2 linked regions of the Arabidopsis thaliana genome follow. The protein of the gene in region 2 interacts with the protein of the main gene of each other region in a pairwise test. Each region holds a gene or a part of one and is shown on either strand. Other genes may lie near its edges.

Region 1 (14,169 bases), on a different chromosome or scaffold from region 2:
CTAGTCATCGAATGAGGCCGTTGGACTGTAAATAAAAAAGGTAAAGCCCATCCCAACTTTTATTTCTTAATTAAAATTTTGGAATATGATTAAGAAAGGAATATTTCATTATTCTTTCCAAAATAGCAAAATGAGATTGTATGTTTAGGTTTTTTGAAAACAAATAAAATTTGAAAGTCTTCGTATATGGACATATATCTGACCAAAATCAAATATCTGTGTATTTTTCAAAAAAAAAAAATATCGTAAATAAATATAATAAAAAAAAATAAAGGTAAACTATGTGATAGCTTACTTTAAAAAATTTGACAGTCGTATGAGGTATTGAGGTTGTATCTGTTTATTTTGATAATTTTTATAAAGTTTGACTCAAATTTTAAGTTTTATCAAAAAAGGAACCAATGATTTGTTAGGAATTGGATAATTAAGGAAATTAAAACATTCCAATTTTGTAAGAATATCAAAGATCAAAAAATTAGTTCAAAATTTGTGAGTACACTATCATCTGAAAACTTTAGTGATTGATTCTTACATGTAGTATCCTATATTAACTCATATCTGTTTCTTGTTATTGAAGTAAAGTCCTCAACTATTCCTTACTAGCATTGTCCATACAAAAACAAATTTTATATCCTCGATTGTGATAGTCAATTCAAAAACATAAACTAAATACTGTTTTAATGAGACGAAACCTCACAAAAAGATGACGAATGGTTTGATTTTACAAAGGCGAAAGGTAGAATATGGTTTAAAGGGATATAGTAAGGAGAGAAGATTTCATCAAGAGGATGTGATCAATCAGATGAGACCTTGGCGTTGAAGATCAGAGTAAGTCTTCTTGTTGTAAATGTTACCTTCACGATCTTCATATTCTTCTTCAAGTTCTGGCCTCCATTTGTTCACTCCTTGCCTCTCCTGTATCCTCTTCCACAATTCTTTGGCTTCCTGAAACAAACCAAACAACAACAAGATCAAATTACCAAACTATTTACTACTTTAAGCTGTACAAAGTCTTTGATCATATTATATTATTACCTCAATCGAAGTGATTTCGTTGAAGTTCTTTGTGTTTGGGATTCCTAGGCAACGCATTCCGTGTTGGTGTCGCCATTCTTTAAAATGTCTCTCAAAAGCCCTTCTTCCCCAATAGCTATAGTTCCCACATATCTCGCATTTAAACTCCTGCGTAATAACAAGAAATTTAATGTGAATCTATGTTCCTTTGATACAACAATGGTCTCATAAATAAACTACATACCTGGCCAAGGCCATGAAGTTTGTAGAGCCAGTATGGTATAGGCTTCCCATCCCAACCTATTGGTAGCTTCAGCGGATTGTAAATCAAACCGTCCTCGTCATCACTTTCTAATTCGGTATTAGCTTCCTCCCCTTCACGTTCTCCCTCCATTTCTTCATATGTCAACGACTGTTTCTTTACAATGTTTTGTTTTGTCCTTTCGATGGTCTATAAAAGGTGACAACAAGAAAAGTTAACAGAAAAAGTACAACTAGATATCTGGGAGGGGGAAAAAAATGTCACTATGAGCTTTCAATCAACTAACCTCATCAAGTAAATTGCAGAGTTTCTTCACTTTGGCCTCTGTTAGTGCAATCTCTTTAGCATTTTCAGACTCATGTGTTGATTTGGCATCTCCGTTTTGTTTTCCGTTGTGTGGAGGTCTGGCAAAATGTTTCTTATCCAGCTTTTCCAAAGGCGTATGCTGTACAAAAATTGAATTAATTAAGGGAATTAGATAACCTCAAGGTAATAAGAAAAGCTTCAAATAGAATTCAATCCCTACAAAACATGAACTATGACAACAAAAGCCTTAGTTTCATATTAGAAGAAGAGCTGAGCTGAACTACCAAACTAGGTTTCATAACAGCTAAATGTTCCTTCCAAACCCAGTAAGAACAACAAGAACGCGGCTACTAATTGATAAAAGTACCCTCTCATAAGACGAAACTTAAAGAAATAGGAGATTATATAGCAAGTGTAAAAACCTTTGTCAGGAAAAGTCTCTCGGCACGCTGCTGCGGAGTACCACCAACCTTCAGTCCTAATGCCCCCAATGCCTGAATGGCATACAAAGAACATATGATTAGGGGAATATGCTTCAAAAAGGATATTAACATGAAGTAGTATGGTCATTACCTCTTTTAGCTTTTCAGGTCCTACATCTACCAGTTCCTCGACTGTACTGTAGTAATCAAGATCTATGACAGTATGCTGAGATGGAATAAGTTCATTATCCAGGCCTTCTACTATTCCATCTGCATATTGCTCTTCAAAATCAGAACAAACCTGTAAAAGAACCAAACATATTAATCGCAACAGATCAAACAATAGGCACAGCATTGGCCAAACTAGAACTACCAGAATGTCAAACTATAACATGGTTCAAAACCTTCCGAGGATATACAATCTCTGCACTTAGAGCAAACTATGCACCAATGAATATTGAATACAACCATCTAGTTATGGCCATTTATTTTCCAAAATTATGTATTATCTCCAGGGGGATGAAAGACTCACAAAGCAACCAGTTGTTAGAACTAAGGAAATCAAATCCAAAGTTCTACACTTAATACTTGGGAAACTAGTAGAAACTTCTTAAGCACGAATAAATATACCAGTTATGTACTAATGCATAGTTCGAAACGCCCATAAAATTTCATAAGGCAACAAGGTAAACGCAATAAAATGATAAAGAAAGGGAGGAGCTTAAACCTTAGAAAGTATCCGGTCAAGATCTTGCAACGGCTCGGTTCGCTGGAAGAAGTAGACCAGGTACTCAAGTAGAGCTTCCATATACTTCATGTATTGCCTAAAATGAAAAATAGCAATACAAAAAGGAAAGCCATTCAGCTGCAGCTAGAAAAATAATTGGAGGCTTTCTAAGTAAAAGAAAATTCCAATGAAGTGTTTACCTCGATAACTTCAGTTTACGCGGTATTTTCTCTGGTTGAGAAAAAACATCAAGGTAAGCAGAATATTCAACCCTTTCCCCAAATTTAGAGTTGATGTACTGGTTATACATATCATGCAAGTCCAAGTACCGACCATTGCCTTCCTGCGTAACAGACAAGAAGATTTAAGTATTGACAATAAAAAAGGGGCTTACAAACTGTTAAAAAATGCGTCAACAAATAGCAACAATAAAAAGTCAAGCAGAAACCTACCTCTCCACTGAACGCAATAATTGGTTCCTCCTTCAGGCGTGCTTCGTAGTCTTCATTAGCATCAACAAGACGTCCAGAAGGATGCCTTTTATGATATTCACGTATCTGTAAGTTTATAAAAGAAGTTAAATAGTTGCAGCTCTGATGCTTTCATCAGTGGTACAAGAAAATCAAATAATTCAGACAATAAAAAAAAAACGAATTAGCAATTTGAATCTTATTCAGGGTGTCCTCATGAAAATTTCACCGCCTTAATACTCTTATGCAAAGCAAGCCTTATACAGCTAACCAAATTGTTGATGGAACAGAACTAATACACTTTCACTGAGATTTTGTACATAATTCTTGATTCTCCATCACAGTGGTTCAAGGCAATCAATAAAACTATTTTTTTTTAAAAGATCAACAGCTAAATAACAATGTCTAGATTAACTAATAGTCCGGTAAAGTTAGCTGCTCAATCTCTAATATACAACCCACAGAAACTAAAGTAAAGCCAAGTCTTGGTATAGAGAACCATAGGCAAGTTTTAGGGAAAAAAGACCAAGGAAGGTGCAAAGGATAAAGAACAAACCTCTTTCAAACGATCGTAAAATTCACTAAACACATTTGTCCCTGTCGCAGTCTGGCCACCAAGCGCTGCAATCTCATCATCCCACGCCCCATCCTTATCTTCATAGGTTTCAACCTTACAACAAACAAGAATCAAGGTTAGCATTAATCCAAGTTTGAGTTAATTATCAACAACAAAAATTAACTCAAATTTGTGAAATAACACTGAAGCATGCTTAGCTCAAAACTTAGAATCCCTACATACACACTTAAGACCCCAACTATAACCTATATTCAACACCAATCTCTGAAGTTTCTTCTCAATTTAACACCCAAGCCAGAGTGATTCAAAGCTAACTTAAACCCCACAATGATAACCTAAAAAGCTAAAGCAATTAACAGAAAAAGAGGCAACACTCAACACGAACCTGTTATTTAAAAAAAAATCAGCAACCCAAGTTTCTCTGCTCTGATCTAACGTATTCAAAAGAGAAGAGACATAAAAACATATGCGGGAAATAGAAAAGAAGATTAAAAATTGACGAGAAGAAGAGAGAAAGCGTACAAGTTTCTCAGTGGTGAGCATAATAGACTCAATCATGTGACGAACACGATGTCCCTGGACCAATCTGTCCTTGCTGGACGGTGGCTCCTTCTGTAGATCTTCCACAACCAATCGCTCCAACCTTTCAACCTCTTCGTGATTGGAGCGAGTTTGCTCGAGGAGAGTCGACGACATTTTCTCTGTCTTCGAAGCTTTGAAATCTCCTTCTTCGCCGGAGTCTAAACCCTAAATTCCAGTCACTTTTCTTTTCCTCAATCCGAAATCTCGCCAGTAAAATTTTTAACGCCAATCCGAGAGAAAAAGATAATCGGGTGGTTTTTGTTGTGGTTTGGGTCGTTTAAGCCGAACTATGTTTTGGGCCTTTTTAGACGGTTTGTGTTTTAGGCCTTTTTTTGACTGTTAGTGTTTTGGGCCTTTTTAGACTCTTTTTTTTCTTTTATATTTTATTATTATTTTACTTATTATAAAAAAATCTATAATATGGTAAAATACCATTTGGTAATTATTTTCTTTTAAGATCTATTCCATTTGGTAATTTATATATTTTTTATCTGATTGCAATCCTCTTTTAATGGGAATACTCAAACATTATGTGTTTGTTTGATATTGTACTATACTTCAATGGGTTCATTTGCAAAGATGTTAACGGAGAGAAGGTTGTACAGAAAAAAAATGGGCAGTTTACAACCATCCACTATGAATGGCTTTGATATTGGTAGCAAACTAACACAAAATCAAGTCATCATTGTCAAAGTTAAAGAGTTAACAAGCCATTTATTCACTCTTTTCAAATTGAATTCATGATATCTCACATGATATAAGATTTGCAAGCTATCTCCTAATAGTATTGAGGTTTGTTGAGATGACATCTTTAATAGATCAATGGAAAGAGCTATATTTGGTTGTTTTCCTCAGGAAAGAGCTATATAGGATGATCATATATTCATATTGAACCAACGATGGGCATTTTGGGGTAAGTATTGCCACCTGACAACAAAATAATAGCCAATCCCATAGACTAATCTTATGACTTCTGATATTGATTTATGTTTGTAAAACCAAAGGAAGATCTCCGAGTGGACATACAAAATTGAAATGTCGTTAACAATTCATATTTGGTATTATTTTTTTTATCTATAAACAATTTTCCATTATTAGTCACTTCCATGTCCAAGCTCAAGAATTCTGTTTCAGGTGTTGTCTTTGAAAGATAGTCCATGCCAACATCGTTTACATATCAGTATATCACTTACTTTACGGCAAACTAAGGCAAACCATATTTCGATTAGTTCATGAGTCGCTAATTGTAACTTAAGGATATCAAGGTTGGAAGTAATTCACTTTGAAACATCACCATTTCGTATGAGTTGATCTTCTTAATAAAAAGATAATAAATACAGAGAAGCAAATGAGAGTTCATCGTAAACACAGCAAACCAAATCAAGAAAACAAAGCAAATATGGTTATTCATTTCAAATGGTGGAATCAGAATATCAATAAGCAAAAACTGGTACATGGTTTGATTCACGTTTGAGTTATATGTTCCTCATTTTCCACTATTCCATCAAACCAAAACAAACAATAAAAACTCAAACAAAACTTTTGAAAAGCGGCGAAGTCAGAGATGTTAAATATGCCTCAAACAGTTTTAAGCTCATAATGAGGAAATTACCCCTCATTCGCACATCTAATTGGTTCATCATTCTCGCCGTTTCATTGCAAAACCAATAAAAACAATGTATCCTACCCGATTATATAGAACGAGATACTAAATGAACGAAATTAAAATCTGAAAATCCTCAAACGCAAAGATCTCTAGCAGATAAAAGAGATAAACACTTATATCTGAAGAGTCAGCGAGAGAGGACCTTAATTCCAGATCTAATGCCGATATAAAAAAACTCGACCTATAATAAATCAGGAAGGTAAAAACTGGGTTAGTTCTTAGGAGAACCCTAATCAAAAACCCTTAATAAATTTCGATTTAGCGCAGCAATGACTCGACACGCTTCCATTAAGCATTTGTGGAAGGCGATCTTAAGGGCTGCGCAACGATTTAAAAAAAAAACGATAAATACGAATAACACGATTTAGAACATAAGCCCTAATATCTAAGAATTGGGGGTTATAATCGAAGATGCATTGTATATATAGTGAAGACTTGTTTTACCCTAGTCGAAGAAGCTTATCCTCGTTTATTGACTATTGGGCTTTAAGCCCATGTTATTTTAAGCCTTATAGGCAAAACAAGACAGAAAACAAAAAGACCAGAATCGCCTTATTCATCAAGTTTTTTTCTTCTTACTTAAACCGAACCGAACCGAACCGAATTGGATTGAGCCATGCCGACACGGAGTTCTGCTCTATAACTTTAATTCGGCACGCAGTCTAAATACAGAGACACTATATGACAAACTCCTCCATCGCCGGTGGTCTGCACAGGGGAGGGGAAACAGCGATTCGAAAATGTCAGGTCGTGAAAGTTACCGTCTTCAGCACCGAGATCCATCTCAGACTTCATATTTTGATGTATTACCAACCTTGTTCATTAATCATAATTGGACATTGTTTCCTTCTATGATGTCGTTTTACATTTCACTCATTGTACTCTTTTCTTTGTATCTTGTTGCTAAAACAGACAACTTCTTAGCAAAATCTATCCTGAAAGAAGTTATTGTCCGTCAAGGTCTGATGTAACTCTCAAGCGATATGTACTGAATTCATGAAGTAATGGAATGTGGGAGTGTACTTTTCACTGAGGTACTCGAGAACTATCATAGATGGCTATACTTGCCATTAGAGTAGTGGCTTCTCAGCTTCTCTTGTTTTCATTCAGGTTTCTGACTCATATAAACCCGATTTCCCGCAACTTGATGCTCAGACAGAGCGTTAGTCTTTTGGAGAGCTTGCAATCATGCTGGAAAGAAGATGTTCTCGTTTTCTCTGCTGCTGGCAAATTTCTTCGCTTGACATTGCAGCTTCGTTCGAGGTTTGTGAAATTTGACTTTAATATTATCATCAATATTGATAGACATATATCTAGTGAAGATAACGTGAAAACTTGCTTGTTTTACCTTAATCGAAGAAGCTTTTTCACGTTTATGGACTTTAGGCCCATATCTTACGACATAATCACTTTGGAATTTTGGATACTTAACCATTTTATGTTAGGCTCGTAACTGACGACATAATCAATTTGGATACTTAACGTACCCAAATTGGGTTTTGAGATATCATTTGTTTCACCTTCTTTTTCTTGTGGAGGAAGTCAAAATAATATGTAACAGTAATGCGGTTTGATGCAAACAGAAATTTAAAAAAGGAAAACGAACAAAACAAATTTGACGAGAAATTGTAAACAAAAACATATTACAGAAACAAGAAATCTGTCACGATCTCAGAATATGTAAAGATAAGATAATAAACTGATTTCAGTTAGTCTTGTCATTATTACCAAATTCCTATAAGGATATTTGCGTTATATCCTTTAGTATAAATGATTTATTTTCTTAACTAATGAAACACAGAATCAAAACGTTTATAGAAACATAAATCTCATTCATCTTCCACACCTCGTCTTTAAGAGACGAGTCCGTTTCTTTTCATCTCCTCTATCACGATTCACCATCACCAAAACACAACCTCTTAAGATAACGTGAAGAAACTATGAGTGACATCCAAGCAAAAGAAGATGCGGCGCCTGTTGATAGACAGTCTTCTTCGTCGGTTGTGGTTCCTGATGAGCCGTCACCTCTAAGAAAGATGATATCAGTGGCTTCTATCGCAGCCGGTATACAGTTTGGTTGGGCTCTTCAGCTTTCTCTCCTAACCCCATACGTTCAGCTTCTCGGAGTCCCACACAAATGGTCATCTTTCATATGGCTATGTGGTCCTATCTCCGGTCTGCTCGTCCAGCCAACCGTCGGTTACTTCAGCGACCGATGCAAGTCAAGATTCGGTCGTCGTCGACCTTTCATCGCCACTGGTGCCTTGCTTGTTGCCCTTGCTGTTATACTAATTGGATTTGCGGCTGACTTCGGCCACACCATGGGAGATAAACTCGACGAAGCTGTCAAGATAAGAGCCGTTGGTTTCTTCGTTGTCGGTTTCTGGATCCTTGACGTGGCTAACAACACTCTTCAAGGACCTTGCCGTGCTTTTCTTGGTGATTTAGCAGCCGGAGATGCTAAGAAAACTCGAACTGCCAACGCGATTTTCTCTTTCTTCATGGCCGTTGGAAACGTTTTGGGATACGCTGCGGGATCGTACACTAACCTCCACAAGATTTTCCCTTTCACAGTGACTAAAGCATGCGACATCTATTGTGCAAATCTCAAGAGCTGTTTCATTATTTCCATCACTCTCCTCATAGTCCTCACAATCATAGCTCTTTGGTACGTGGAAGACAAGCAATGGTCGCCTAATGCAGATTCCGACAATGAGAAAACTCCCTTCTTTGGCGAGATCTTTGGAGCTTTCAAGGTGATGAAACGTCCAATGTGGATGCTTCTAGCCGTCACGGCCTTGAACTGGATCGCATGGTTTCCTTTTCTTTTATACGATACCGATTGGATGGGTCGTGAAGTGTATGGTGGAGACTCAGCAGGAGATGACAAAATGAAGAAACTATACAACCACGGAATCCAAGTTGGTTCGTTGGGGTTGATGCTTAACTCTATCGTTCTTGGAGTCATGTCCCTTGTTATTGGAGTGATTAGTAAGAAAATTGGAGCTAAAAGGCTTTGGGGAGCTGTGAACATAATCCTCGCGGTGTGTTTGGCAATGACAGTTTTGGTTACTAAAAAGGCTGAGGAGCACCGGAAGATCGCTGGTCGGATGGCCCTTCCTACCAATGCCATCAGAGATGGAGCATTGAGTCTCTTTGCTATTCTTGGAATTCCTCTTGCTGTAAGTCCACCATGTCTTTTACCAATTTTTGTTACTATTATCCATGAATTATTATTTTGTTTAACAATATTAATCCATTTTTTGCTATATTTTATAGATTACATTTAGTATTCCATTTGCATTAGCTTCCATTATTTCAAGCAGTTCCGGTGCCGGTCAAGGTATTTAATTTTAACCTCTCCTTTTGTTTCTAATTTGAACCTACATTCTCATAGTAATGCTAATTAAAATGTGTGAACACAAAAAACGGTAATGGAGAGATCAGTTTCCAATTATAAGAAAAACGATCGAGTATATATTTTCACATAGGGTGATGTATGTTATGTACTAATTTATTGGTTAATTGATATTTTTATACAATCTGTTTACATCTTCAATTATTAGTTGGTTTTCATTCACCATATAAAATTTGTCATAAATGTATCAATAAGATACATAATCGTTCTGTTTAAGATTATTATTAAAGCGTTTATCAGATTAATAAGGATAGTGATAACATTTTTTGTCATTTTTTCAGGACTCTCTCTAGGAGTTTTAAACATGGCAATAGTGATACCACAAATGATTGTATCGTTTGGAGTTGGTCCAATTGATGCGTTATTTGGAGGTGGAAACTTACCTGGATTTGTGGTTGGAGCTATAGCAGCTCTAATCAGCAGTGTTGTGGCACTTACCGTTTTACCTTAATTTTTTTTTTTTTTTTATTGTTATGTGCTTCTTTTTTATTGTTATGTATCCACATGTTTAATATTAATGTAGCATGTGGCATATTTATTTACATTATTTAATTAAAGTTTTAATTTTAAAAAGTTCTTCTTGTTTTTGTTTAACTTCTATATCTATGTCAACATCAATCTGCGTAAATTAAAGTATTTTAAACTTCTAGGTAAATAACAAAAAAAAAAATTAATATTATGCATAGGAATTGTAAATCTAACATTTTTACCTTTATATGACAATTCATTCATGATACATTTTATTTTGTAGAAACAATGAAATATTCAAAAAAACATAATACACTTTAAAAAAGTATAAAATAAAATAAAATGAAATCAAAGACCAAAAAAATAAATTTAGTCTAAACAAAGACGACGGGGCAGGTGGGAAGACTCGAGTAGACACATGGATGAGTGTGGTAGCAAAAAGCTTACCGGCCGCGGTTTAGCGAAGAAAGAAATGAAGGCCTACACTAACTTTAGAAGGAGAGGGGGATGAGTGTGTGTTCAATTTTAAGAATTTAATTTTTGTATTTTAGATTCTATTAATTCTAGTATTATTTAAATTCTTGATTAACAAATTTTATTAAATGCTAGTGTTATTCAATATTAGGATTAATAAAGAAAAAATCCCACTCAAGATTGTGAATAAAAAATTCCAGGAATTCATGCAAAGATTTGGTTAGAATTAATTCAATTCCTTAAAATCTACTTTTGATCCTCTTAATTCTTTAAAATTTCTTAACTGAATACTACAATTACAATTGAGAAGTCGTAAGTTTCAATTGGTACGAAATGTACTCAAAACTTATCAATTCGAAATGAACATCATCATGTAGCAAAATTGAAGCAATATATATGTGGATCTACTGATACTAAGCAAAAAATCAAGTATTCTCTTTCTCGATGAACTAATTTATCAGTCGTAGCCTAGCGAAGAAAGATTTCACTAACATTTTGAAAAAATAAAATTGAGAGAGAATTGCAACAGAAAATTATGGTTAATGACTGAAAATATAAAGAACTTATATTCCAGTAGCTCTAGAATTTGACAAAATTGCAACGGAAAATACTCAAACTTTTAATAGCCAAAAAAAATGAAATAGAGTTAGAAAATCAACAAACCAATAACACAAATTTTTGAAAGAATTACAAAATTATCAACACAAATAATACAATAATTTAATTTAGTAAAAATATAGAAATCCACAAGAGTTAGAATCTTAAATTTTAAAACTCTTTAGAAATCAACTTGCTAATAATCGTAAAAAAATTAGAACGCTTGAAATAGCTGAAGAAGGTTTAATTCGTTCCGATTCCCGGTTCAAATTGATTTTCGATTTATTCTGATTTCAACTTCGGTTTGGTCTAGCTGGTCAGTCGTCATCACTCTCGTCAGGAATCCCTCTCGTCACTGAACTTTCTTTTCCTTTCAAGTTTCACCTCTAATGCGACGAACACAGCCACGGGAACTGGCCGTCACTGGTTTATCGGAGAATCTCCAAGGATGTGTTTTCCGCACGGTGAAACGAGCAGTTCTGATCGGAAACGGCTGCGCCGGCGCGGAGAATCAATGCATCGGTCTCCTTCGATCCTTAGGCCTCTTCGATCGCCACCTCTATTATGTAATCTCCGTCTAAAACACTATTCCTCTTCTGGCTTCTTCATTTTCAATGTTTCTGAGTTTGTTTTTTCCTGTTCAGAGAGTAGCTAAACCAAGAGGTGGAATCCTTCAATGGCTTCCTATCTCTCTCTACAAACGAATTCATCGTTTTATCAGCACTATCTGTGCCGGATTATCCATTAACGCTACTGGTACAACCTTCAACTTTTATTCACAGTTTGAAAAATGAGATTTTTGGCAGTAATTTGTTTCCCTGGAAATGGCTGTAGGAATCACGAATGTGTTTGAAGTAGATGATGCGAAGCAGATTGCTGCTATGGCTCGTAAAACGTTTGAAAAGTATTGTTCAAATTTTCCTCTGCTTGATTTTGAGATCTCTTTACATAGAATTTGAGTTACTTGTCGTCTGCCTTATCACAGGAATGGCCCGTTGTTAGTCGTGGCGTCTGGTAGTGATACTATTTCCGTCGCAAGCTCAATAAGACGACTGGCTATGGAAAATGTTTTTGTTGTTCAGGTTAAGTCTTTTCCCTTGAAAAAAACAACAAATTCTATAGCTTTTTTTGTTTTATATGAAGGTTTTAGCTGATTTTTCCATGTGACTGATATCAGCAACTGCCAAATCTTGGCCTCATACTCTTTGTTTTCTCCTTGTTATAACTTGATTCTTCTTGTTTACTGTTTTTCCAGGTGCAACATCCAAGGTCGCATCTTGAGAGATTTGATCTAGTGATCACACCTCAACACGATTATTTTTCTTTAACACCTGAAGGGAAGAGGCAAATTCCTTTCTTTCTCAGACCATGGGTAACTCCACGTGAACATCCAGGTAGAAATGTGGTATGTGTCTTTTGCAATGTTCATTAAAATGGATTTGATGGCAAGGCATTGTCATTCTGTTGCTAGTAACAAGCTTGAATTCTGAAATCCAGTTTCTCACTACTGGAGCTCTTCATTACGCCGACGCTTCTACTCTAAGAAATGCTACATCGGAATGGAAAAACGAGTTTGCTTCGCTGCCAAAGCCTTTGGTTGTAGTTAATATTGGAGGACCTACAAGTAAACACATTGTGCCTCTTTGTATTTTATATACTCTATCGATCTGTATTTGTAACTGCGGTTACGTTTTTTTTTTGTTAATTTGTTATAGGGAACTGTTTGTATGGTGTTGATCTTGCTAAACAGTTGTGTGGTATGCTTCAGAGTATCCTCTGGAGCTGTGGAAGCCTAAGAATATCTTTCTCAAGAAGAACACCAAAGAAGGTTTGTAAAAGTCTCTTTAGAATGTCACGATCATGGGGAGCGGATGGTCATCATATACTCGATCTTTCTACAGGTTGTAGAAGTCATAACTGGAGAATTGAGCTCTAACTCTAAGGTCTACATTTGGGATGGAAAAGGTAAACGGCTTTTTACTCTCAACTTGTCTGTGGCAAAGTTTGATGTTTTCTCTTCATCCATTTCTCAGACCCTAATCCGCATTTGGGACATCTAGCTTTAGCCAATACTTTTATCATAACTGCTGACTCTATAAGTATGTTGAGCGAGGCATGTAGTACCGGGTATGTTTAAGAAAACGACAATCTTTTCCTTTTCACACTCTTAAAATGATATCAAAATCTCATTCTCTACACAGGAAACCCGTTTATGTTGTGGGTGCTGAACGGTGTACATGGAAATTTTCTGACTTCCAGAAGACTCTCCATGGTAGAGGAGCTGTTCGACCTTTGACCGGCAAAGAAGATGTAATTCTGATAACTCTATTCAAGTCTTTTGTTTTTGTTTACATGATAGCTATACTCCGAGACACCCTTCTCTTTTTTGTTTATGTTCCGATAAATCCTGACACTAGCTTCTACATGGATTTAATATTTCAAGATGTGTGAGAAGTGGAGTTACTCTCCTCTTAACGATAATGTAGAAGCTGCGAGGCGTGTGATTCAAGATCTGGCCAAGCGTGGCTGGGAAATCGAGGCATGACCGTTCTTTCCCTCCACAAGTTTTCCAGAGTACTACTCTCTTTTCCCTATATAGTCTACAGTTATTATTTTCGTACTGGGAATTATCCTCCATAGAAGTTAAATGCTCTAGTCGAACTCAGGGTCATATACTTAGCTCATCGTTTGAACTATTAGTCTATTAACGATTGGTTTTTGTTAGTTCTTTGGTTTTTTCCATTTGGTTTGTAGTCTCATGTATCAAGCTCATCATCTGTAAAGGAACGAATAAAAGCTGCGTGCTCTGACCTAGATAAAATAAGAAAGAGTCTTCCTTTGATGCAGTTAGGATTGATATTCTAGGTACTGACACTTGAGTTTGCTAGACTGACCATAGCATAGACCAATCTCAAGCACTTGTTACGAAGTGTTGGCATGAGTCTCAAAGAGTGCTTACATTATGAGAAACAAAGAATTGCAGAATGCGTTTGGATTGATTAAACATGTGTGAAAGACTAAAAAAACATCATATGGTTCACGTTCACTCAGGGAGGTGGTGACATTGACTCTCCGGAGTACACTCTTGAGTAACAAAAGCAGTATCTTAATCCAAGAAAAGACACAAAGGCACAAAGGTATGACACGCTTCTGGATTGAATTTTGTATGTTTATTGTACTTTTGGT
Region 2 (9,979 bases):
CTTAGATACTTCCCGGACGGATTCCGAAACTGCTATACCTTGAATGTCACGCAAGACACAAACTATCTGATCAAAGCTGTATTTGTGTATGGTAACTACGATGGTCTTAACAATCCCCCGAGTTTCGATCTTTACCTTGGTCCGAATCTATGGGTAACGGTTGATATGAATGGACGGACCAATGGTACTATCCAGGAGATTATCCACAAGACCATATCTAAGTCTCTCCAGGTCTGTCTTGTTAAGACAGGAACAAGCTCACCTATGATTAATACGTTAGAGCTACGACCACTTAAAAACAATACTTACAATACTCAGAGTGGCTCTCTGAAGTATTTCTTCCGATATTATTTCAGCGGTTCAGGCCAAAACATACGGTATGAATCACGCCCTTTCACTTAATCATGAACAAAATTTGGTTTCTGGTTCTGTTTGATCCGTTTAGGATAAACTTTTTAACGAAGATTATTTGTTTTAAACCTTTAATAAATTTAGTGTATATATTGAAGTTTAAAGATTATAATTACTTATTAGGTTTTTGGTTGCACAAAACTCGGATTGGGTTCATTTGGTATAGACATTTTTCTAGCATCTTGGTTTATTAATATGGATTTTGATTTGTTTCAGTAAGTTTGTTTTTAAGTAAAATGTTAGTCTTTAATACATGACAAAAATATTTTTGATAGGTACCCTGATGATGTCAATGATCGTAAATGGTATCCATTCTTTGATGCAAAAGAGTGGACAGAGTTAACAACCAATCTGAATATAAACAGTTCTAATGGTTATGCACCACCAGAAGTTGTGATGGCGTCAGCCTCAACGCCTATAAGTACTTTTGGAACATGGAACTTCTCATGGTTATTGCCATCTTCCACAACCCAATTTTATGTGTACATGCATTTTGCCGAGATTCAAACTCTACGGTCCCTCGATACCCGAGAATTCAAAGTGACGTTGAATGGAAAACTTGCTTATGAACGCTACAGCCCTAAAACGTTAGCCACCGAAACCATTTTCTATTCGACACCACAACAATGTGAAGATGGGACATGCCTCTTGGAGTTGACGAAAACACCTAAGTCTACTCTTCCTCCTCTCATGAACGCTCTTGAGGTTTTCACCGTGATCGATTTTCCACAGATGGAAACAAATCCAGATGATGGTAAGTCTATATGTTTCAATCAATTTCCTCTATAAATATAATTTCATGGGTTGTTTTTTGATGCAACAATAACTTTATTCTAGTTGCTGCTATCAAGAGTATCCAAAGCACTTATGGATTAAGTAAAATCAGCTGGCAAGGAGATCCATGCGTTCCTAAACAGTTTTTGTGGGAGGGTTTAAACTGCAATAATCTAGATAACTCCACGCCGCCTATTGTCACTTCCTTGTAAGATCAATCTTAAATTATTGTATTAGTTATGTCACATGATTTTATCATCTGTAAATGAAATGTGTGCATGCATAAATATGTCTTTAGAAACTTATCGTCAAGTCATTTAACGGGGATCATCGCGCAAGGCATTCAGAATCTGACACACCTACAAGAACTGTAAGTATTTCGTATTTCAAAACTGAGCATAATGAAAACTATTTGTTCACCTTAATTGTATCTTGTTTATAACATATTTTTGTACTTACAAATGCTTATGTAGAGACTTGTCAAATAACAATTTGACGGGAGGAATACCCGAATTTCTTGCTGACATAAAATCACTCTTAGTAATGTGAGTCGTTTTAAACAAGACAATTTTTTATAATCTATTAGCCTCTTCGCACTACAAGATTGCCTATGTTTCTAACATTGTGTCTATCTTAACAGAAATTTAAGTGGGAACAATTTTAATGGCTCTATTCCTCAAATCCTTTTACAGAAGAAAGGACTAAAGCTAATGTAAGCTTTTCTCATATAATATTTTCATGACTATATAAAATTTGTGCTCAAGTCTCCTAAATGACTGGTAAATTTCTTTTTTTCCTCAACATTGGTAACTCATAGTCTTGAAGGAAACGCCAATCTGATTTGTCCGGATGGATTATGTGTAAACAAAGCTGGCAATGGTGGTGCCAAGAAAATGAATGTTGTAATACCGATTGTTGCATCAGTTGCGTTTGTGGTTGTTCTTGGATCTGCATTGGCGTTCTTTTTTATTTTCAAAAAGAAAAAGACATCAAACAGTCAAGGTATACACAAAAAGAACCTTTAAATTGCCTTGAATACTGCAATACATATGTTCACTATGTATAAAAAGTCTCATTATACTGTTGCATTGTAACATTAGATTTAGGTCCATCTTCATATACTCAAGTATCAGAAGTTAGAACAATCAGATCTTCAGAGTCGGCAATAATGACTAAGAACAGAAGATTTACATATTCGGAGGTTGTAACAATGACAAATAACTTTGAAAGAGTTCTTGGTAAAGGAGGATTTGGAATGGTTTATCATGGAACTGTAAATAATACTGAACAAGTAGCCGTTAAAATGCTTTCACACTCATCTTCTCAAGGATATAAAGAATTCAAAGCAGAGGTAAGTTTTAGCAAGGTTATTAAGAAACGTTTGTAGAAACACTATCGTTTTATTAGAGTAACATGTCAAATTTTGATGTATTGCTCTTCCACTCCTCTAGGTGGAACTTCTTCTCAGAGTTCACCACAAAAATTTGGTTGGCCTCGTTGGATATTGTGATGAAGGAGAAAACTTGGCTCTTATCTACGAGTACATGGCTAACGGAGACTTGAGAGAACATATGTCAGGTAAGTATTTATAGTTGCTACAAATACATATTTGTTGTGGTGTTTTCACATATTTATATGTTGATTCAAATGTAGGAAAGCGAGGTGGATCTATTCTAAATTGGGAAACTAGACTAAAAATAGTTGTCGAGTCTGCCCAAGGTTTGATATGAGTTTTAATATAATTTTTGCTTGTATCCTCTATTCATTTGCTTAACCCTTGATGAAAATGAAATTTGTTGCATAGGTTTGGAATACTTGCATAATGGATGCAAACCACCAATGGTTCATAGGGATGTTAAAACCACAAATATATTGTTGAATGAACACCTCCATGCTAAGCTAGCTGATTTTGGGCTTTCGAGATCTTTTCCAATTGAAGGAGAAACTCATGTGTCAACAGTTGTTGCTGGAACTCCTGGATACCTTGATCCAGAGTAAGTTTCATAATTGTTGGGCAATGATTTTCTTTTAAATTTTATTTTAAGGGTAATTGCTAGTTTTCATCTATCATGAGTATCATCACTTGATAGGATATCATATATATTTTTTATTTTTAATAGGATAAATATTGATTTTGCAGATATTACCGAACAAATTGGTTGAACGAGAAAAGTGATGTTTATAGCTTTGGAATTGTACTATTAGAGATCATCACAAACCAACTTGTGATCAATCAAAGTCGTGAAAAACCACATATAGCAGAATGGGTGGGGTTAATGCTTACAAAAGGAGACATTCAAAACATTATGGATCCAAAACTTTATGGTGATTATGACTCTGGTTCTGTCTGGAGAGCAGTTGAACTAGCAATGTCATGTCTAAATCCTTCTTCAGCTAGAAGACCAACAATGTCTCAAGTTGTTATCGAATTAAACGAATGTTTGTCATATGAAAACGCAAGAGGAGGAACGAGTCAAAACATGAACTCAGAGAGTTCAATAGAAGTCAGCATGAACTTTGATATTGGAGCTACCCCTGATGCTCGTTAGACTGCAAGAGTCATTTTATCTTTGTTTTCTTGAGTGGATTTTTGTTATTTTCAAAGGAAAATTTTAAAAGTTTTGTAATGAATTTATGTCATTAATGAATGTGATTTATTGGAATCAAGATTAGCAGCATAGACTCGATCTACGGTTAAAAAAAGAGGATAAAGTCCAATCATAACTCTCTTTAATTTATTTTGCAGAATGAAAACGTAGTAGAAATGGATGTAATCTTAGTGGAATAAACAAAGCAAATGATGAGACATGTTTATACGTTTCTTGTGATCAAAGTTTCGAAGCTCTAGATATATAGCAATAGGCCCGGGATGACTCAAATATGATCGAGGGGAAGAAGCGCGCACCTGCCAATTGCTCGCTACGACCATCTTCTATCTCAGTTCACGTCATTGTTTGATATAAAAGTGACTTGTTCTGTACGTTAAATCATATTTGACTCATCCTGGGCCTATTGCTCTGTATGGTTTTTCTAACTGACTCAGTTATTTATTTGTAATATGATAGTTCCAAAATAAGACATTACAAATGATTTATACACGTACATTTTATACAACAACTTCCATTTTTAGTTTATTTTAACTATATATCATATTTGTCCACCAAAATTTACGATGTAGTCAAAGTTGATATCTAGTAGCATTCTAATTTAGTGCATAATAAATTTAACGTAAAGATTATCAGTGTATTGTTGTATGTGGAATAATTAAAGAGAAAGAAAAAATATATTTTTTTTAAAGTAAAAAAAAAAGTTGAAATGGATTTCATTTTCTGAAGGAAGAACAAGTTGATGAATAATAAAGTCAAATGAGGATGATAATAGAGACTAGAGAGGTATACCATATCATTTGATGATTGTGGACAACTGGATGTTGTTTTTTCCAATATAAGTGAAGAAGTTGCCAAGTTGATGAAATCAAAAATATCCAGCTTTCGTCACCAAAATGTATTATCCTCTGATTTGAGAAGATACTTTTTCTTGATTATATGTGTTTAATAAATGGACATGTGTGTGCTAATAAGGTTGTTGGTTTGATTTGCGGACCATATTAGAACTTTGGAGGATTTCTCTTATGATTAGTAGGACCAAAAACGTCGGATTTATTGTGATATAAAGAGTGATTTAGGTTATGTCAAAACTTTCTAAAAATAGGTTGCTTCGAAGGGACATCTTTGTCTAAAATGTTACATGGAAACAAACAAAAGGCCATAACCGTTCAATTAAAAAAGTCAACATGAATGATCAATCTCTCTTATCTCCCCAGCTTGCAACACCCATCGAATCCTGACTTTTTCTTTTGATTATTATATACTAAACTTTTACATACTACATAATTGCTTTTTAGAGTTTTCTGTTTGTAATTTGGAGTCAACTTGAATATATGATTTTATGATATTAAATAACGGAATTATATTTTATCTACTTAATCATTTTGACTTCAAATGTTGTTAGTCGACATTGTTACCTTTCTTTTCATAAGAAACTACCAAACGTCCAGACCTAGTCGGTTGCATCTTCGATTGCTTCATTGGGTTGATAACTAATTTAATTTTAAGAACACAAAAAATGACTACTATGGTATTATATTACAAGATGGATTTTAATTCTTTCCAATAGCTGGTTGCAATAGGCCTTATGAGACTCTTCCAAATGGAAACTTGGTTTAGTTTAATTAAACCGTTTTCTTCTCTTCTATGGAGTTCACGTTCTACAAAGATTTTCATAGACAATCAAATAATAAAACAGAAATATAGGCATGCTCCAAGAAAAACCATTCCTGCCCTATATACTTACATGCGGAAAACAAAATTAAAATTGTTATATGTTTGTGTGTTCTTTTGGCGACGCAATAGGCACAAACATTTTAAAATACGGAATTAAACACATTACAAAAATATAGTTCCTTGTATAGAGTACCAATGTTCACATTTTCATATTCAAATAACATGTTTTATGTTTTGAACATTCATTTAATTGGGTTTGGTGAAATACGCGGATAATTAACAAGCCAGCTCAAGAGCATGTTACTTTCTTAATGTAAACCAAGCTTAGAACAAAATAGCATGTTATTTTGAAAATAGCAATTAAGTAAGTGTTATTGCGAATAAATAAAAAGTTGATAGTCAATGTACCCAAGTCAAAAAAACACATCCATCAAAAGAACTTCATAAAATACTATTAAACGAAAGAGAATGTGATTAAGGAGATTTAGGGACGAAATAAGACAAAAACCAAAAGACAAAAAAGAAGAATAAAAAGATGGAGAGTGAGATAGAGAAGCATGTGGTGAGCATTTTAGGGTGTACGAGTCAGGTGAAGTTATATTCTCAAGGTGCACGCCTTCAACATTCTTAACTCTTACTAAACTCCATCCAAACTATGTTTTGTATTTGAGCCAGACAAAAAAACACTTATGTGAAAATAAAATTATAAGACAATAATAAGTTCTTCCACTAAAATCGTTTTTTTATATGGATAAGTAACACAAATTAAATAACCTTGCATTATAGATATACGAAATTTATACATATTTTACAGAGACAGACAGAGTTTATTGAGTACCAAAAAAAGAGGATGAATATTAATTTTATATTTTAGTACTCCAAAAGAGTTCTTCAAGTAAAGCTAAACTTTTTTAAGTAGAGAGAGATGGAGGCACTTTCTAAACACTTTTGTTGATAATCATCGCTTCATAATTGCAATTATCTTACGCTATCTTTACTCTAATAAAGTAATAAAAGGTTGAAAATATTGCAGAGACTGTAATTAACCTCTTGCGGCTCTGTTTTTCACAATATTTCAACCCTCGAATTCCACAGATTCTATATAAAATACAAACTTTATATAAAAAGAAATGCAAAACAAAGACTGGAAAGTGTAAACAACACTGCCCGACACCACCCTTGTCACAGAAGTTGCCTTTCTTGAGAACTGCTAAAACAATCAAGACGCCATGATTCTGTTGATGATGATGAAACTCAAAAGTTTATAATCTGTCAACACTCTGGATGATGGATTTGATTAGGATTTTGCAATGGAAGAAAAGATGGGTGGAATAATGGAAACGATGTAGGAGCAGAAGAGAAAGAGAGATTGGTTTGGTCAAGCTTGGGTCTCAAGTTTTCTAAAGCTTTTACTTGTGCTCTAAGGAACTTGAGATAATTAGCAGCTTCATCAAGCATTGATGCAGTATCCATCTTCGTCCCACCTGGAACCAATGTTTGTAAAACCCTAATCTTCTCACTTATCCTCTCCCTTCTCTGTCTCGCTGCAACCGTTTGAGGATCCGTCGATATCTTGACGTTCTTCCTCTTAGGCTTCTCCACAATCTCTAACCCGAAATTCACCGGTCTAAATGCAGCCGCTCTGTATATCATCTCCTTCATTTGTGCAATCGCCTCAGCATCGGGCTCGACATTGTCAGACAAACAAGTTGAATGTTGGAAACTAATGTTCGAAGAACCGCCTCGTTCTTTCTCTGTTCTTGGTTTCTTTGATTTCGATTGATTCTCATCGTATATAAGCTTGAAACCTCCTTTCTCCGAATCATCTTGAGGATGAACAAGACTAAAGTGACTTCCTGTCTCGTCTCCTCTGTTTCTCTTCAAAGACTTAGGTTTTGTTGTTGTTGTTGTAGTCTCAGTAGTTCCTCCATCTCCTCCTCTGTTTCTCTTCAAAGGCTTAGGCTTTATCGTTGTTGTCGTCTCAGTAGTGATCTCTCTGTTCTCAGACTCTGCAGATGAGACTCCACCAAAGCTCCAAAGAGTCTGACAATCTGAGAAAAGCACAGATATTCCTTCATCGTCCTCCGTCGAGGTGTTGTTGCTATTCGACGTCGCAGATAACAAACAATCGAGTGATGATGGATCTATCGAGCTAGCTCTGTTGCCAACATGTTGCTGCTGTTGAATCTCACCTAAGACTCCAAGATCAGACATGAAACAGCTGCTAAGATTCGGATTAATGAGTTGGTGGTGATAAGAAGAAGAAGAACAGAGTTCTCGAGCCATTAGCTCATTTCCTCCCCAAATCAAATCTGATCCTTGATGCTCCATGATTTTGCTCTCTCGTGTCATTCCATACATAGCTTGAGCGTACACAGATTCCAATCCTTCCATCGGATCAAACACAATCCTAAAAACACCCAAAACAAAGACAAATGTGAGAGGCATACTTAGAAACAGAGCATATTTGTAAACAGACATGAAACCTAAATATTTCTTGTTACATGCAGGGAAAAATGATAAAAGCTGATCTTTAAACCAACCTCGTTGTAATAACGGCAGGACATGAAAAAGTGAAACCGGAAGAAGAGAACAAACAGATGAGTTCACAGGAAACTCTGAGAAACGTTTCTTCTGTCTTAAAGAGATGACACCCAAAAAGGGAAAGAAAGAGAAAACAGAGGAAAGAAACAGAAAGAAGAAATGCTCAAAAAGGAAAGAAAGTAAAACAGTCTGTAAATGAGGTTTATTTCTGTGCTGTAGACTTAGAAAGCTCTGTTTCTGTTCTGTTCTATAATGAGCTCTCTGCTAGAGTTATAGATAGTTTCTGTAAGAAAAGACTTGAAAGCCCTATACACCCCTCCTACTATTCATACTCAGATTTGTTATTATGCACATATTTATATATAGAATAAATATTAAATATATTTGTATATTTATTATATATATATAATAGTATTATTTTTAAAAAGGTCCCAACTTTCGATGAGATCAATTGTTCCTCTGTATCAAGCACTAGTTCTGTACTTCTGTAAATTGGTATGGATGGTTAACTTTAAGAATTAGGATTAGTGTAACTTTAAGAATTAAATCCCTATTTTGATATACTTTAAAACATATATATGAGCGCCGTCAAAGGAAAAAAACTTTTAACTAGTATACCGGTAAACTAATTAACTACTCAAACGATTAATTTTTATATTTTACTTTTGAGTTAGGTAATTTTTTTACCAAATTTTATGATGATCAAATCATTAATGGATGCGATTTAGATGATTTAACTATTATTTCCAGTGACATGCATATGCAAACTCGAATATGGAACGTTATCGACACGTTAAATTGAAGACGCCGGCGGCGACAACTTTACTTTCGTAGAAGATGAAACTATTGAAGTTGATCTCGATTAATTTTGCGATATATCTGATATCTCTAAGTGAGATTTTGTTGGATAATAGATACACGACTATCAAAATTGAATTTAAAAGTTGTCACCGAAACTAAACGTTAGAGTTTACAACACTCCCGAATCTAAACTTAAAACATCTCCTAAACCGGATTATTTAATAATTTCTTAATCCAAAATTATTTAATTTTTCATGGTCAAAAATAATGTCACACGCGCAAAGAGAAAAGTGAGATCACTGATTCATTAACCTAAAGCTAACCGAATGATTTGTATTAAAATATAGAAAATAATCTAGACGATTGAATTATATATTTATTTAAATGAGGTTGGTGTGCATAATAGTTTCTGCAATCGAAGAGCATCTTTTTTTGAAACCCTAGAAAATAGATATAATACTTGATAAAAATCATAGACTATATGATTATGCACTTGATGAATACTGAAAAGGGATATGTAATTAAAAATCTACGAGTGCTTGAGCAGAGAAAAAGGACTGACAATCCTTTTAGCGTCGTGCGAACTGAAAACTTTAAGGGAGAGATCGAAAGAAAGTTTTAGGTTTTGGATCTTTTATTTTTTGGTGAATAACAGATTAATGTTGATTGTATATTTTATTTTAAAAATGATCAAGCTGTAAAAGTAATTCATGATTCTATTATCTATACCATTTTCTTATTCTTTTCTATGTGTTTGTTTAATTTACCTTTTCGCTATCATCATCAGTCAATAATGATCAATATCCTCATCTCGATCTATCTAGCAACACTTTCTTGTATAGTTTATCTTCATTTCTTTTGGCTAGAACGTGTTATATAAAAATACCAAACACTCTTTTTGTGGATTTATTTGATTATATATAATCATGATATCATATATAATCGATGTGGAACACTTTTTGGAGTAGTTTTCGAAAACTTTGTAATTTCCATATACCAGTAGAGAAGTACATTATTAGTCGCTTCTTATTTCCCAAGTCGTTCCTCCTTAGGCTTGAAATAACCAACATTCGAGAACCTAAACCAATAACGCCAATATAGTTTTATTGTATATTTGTATGAACTTATATCTTTACTATGTAAGAACAATTTGTAGTAGTATTTAT

What was found.
Region 1: the proteins of AT3G21330 (region 2) and ATO interact in binary tests that used the Arabidopsis thaliana proteins (3 or more experiments, as listed by UniProt).

The regions. Positions count from the first base shown.
Region 1 is NC_003076.8:1,861,825-1,875,993, forward strand, and holds ATO (splicing factor-like protein), read right to left. Parts: upstream 4,610-14,169; 5' UTR 4,475-4,609; coding exon 4,301-4,474; intron 3,872-4,300; coding exon 3,758-3,871; intron 3,289-3,757; coding exon 3,184-3,288; intron 3,075-3,183; coding exon 2,932-3,074; intron 2,829-2,931; coding exon 2,732-2,828; intron 2,306-2,731; coding exon 2,156-2,305; intron 2,077-2,155; coding exon 2,005-2,076; intron 1,722-2,004; coding exon 1,563-1,721; intron 1,466-1,562; coding exon 1,259-1,465; intron 1,183-1,258; coding exon 1,036-1,182; intron 946-1,035; coding exon 799-945; 3' UTR 501-798; downstream 1-500. Other genes in the region: SUC9 (sucrose-proton symporter 9), read left to right, coding at 7,967-9,208, 9,306-9,369, 9,726-9,895; AT5G06180 (fission ELM1-like protein (DUF1022)), read left to right, coding at 11,373-11,549, 11,628-11,739, 11,818-11,887, 11,969-12,065, 12,239-12,388, 12,481-12,607, 12,699-12,811, 12,885-12,948 and 3 more; AT5G06190 (uncharacterized protein), read right to left, coding at 14,031-14,067. UniProt on the Arabidopsis thaliana protein: Splicing factor homolog to SF3a60 that may be involved in pre-spliceosome formation. Is necessary for gametic cell fate determination.
Region 2 is NC_003074.8:7,505,603-7,515,581, reverse strand, and holds AT3G21330 (basic helix-loop-helix (bHLH) DNA-binding superfamily protein), read right to left. Parts: upstream 8,343-9,979; 5' UTR 8,012-8,342; intron 7,879-8,011; 5' UTR 7,863-7,878; coding exon 6,741-7,862; 3' UTR 6,396-6,740; downstream 1-6,395. Other genes in the region: AT3G21340 (Leucine-rich repeat protein kinase family protein), read left to right, coding at 1-377, 687-1,165, 1,249-1,393, 1,484-1,555, 1,659-1,730, 1,826-1,897, 2,003-2,187, 2,286-2,536 and 4 more.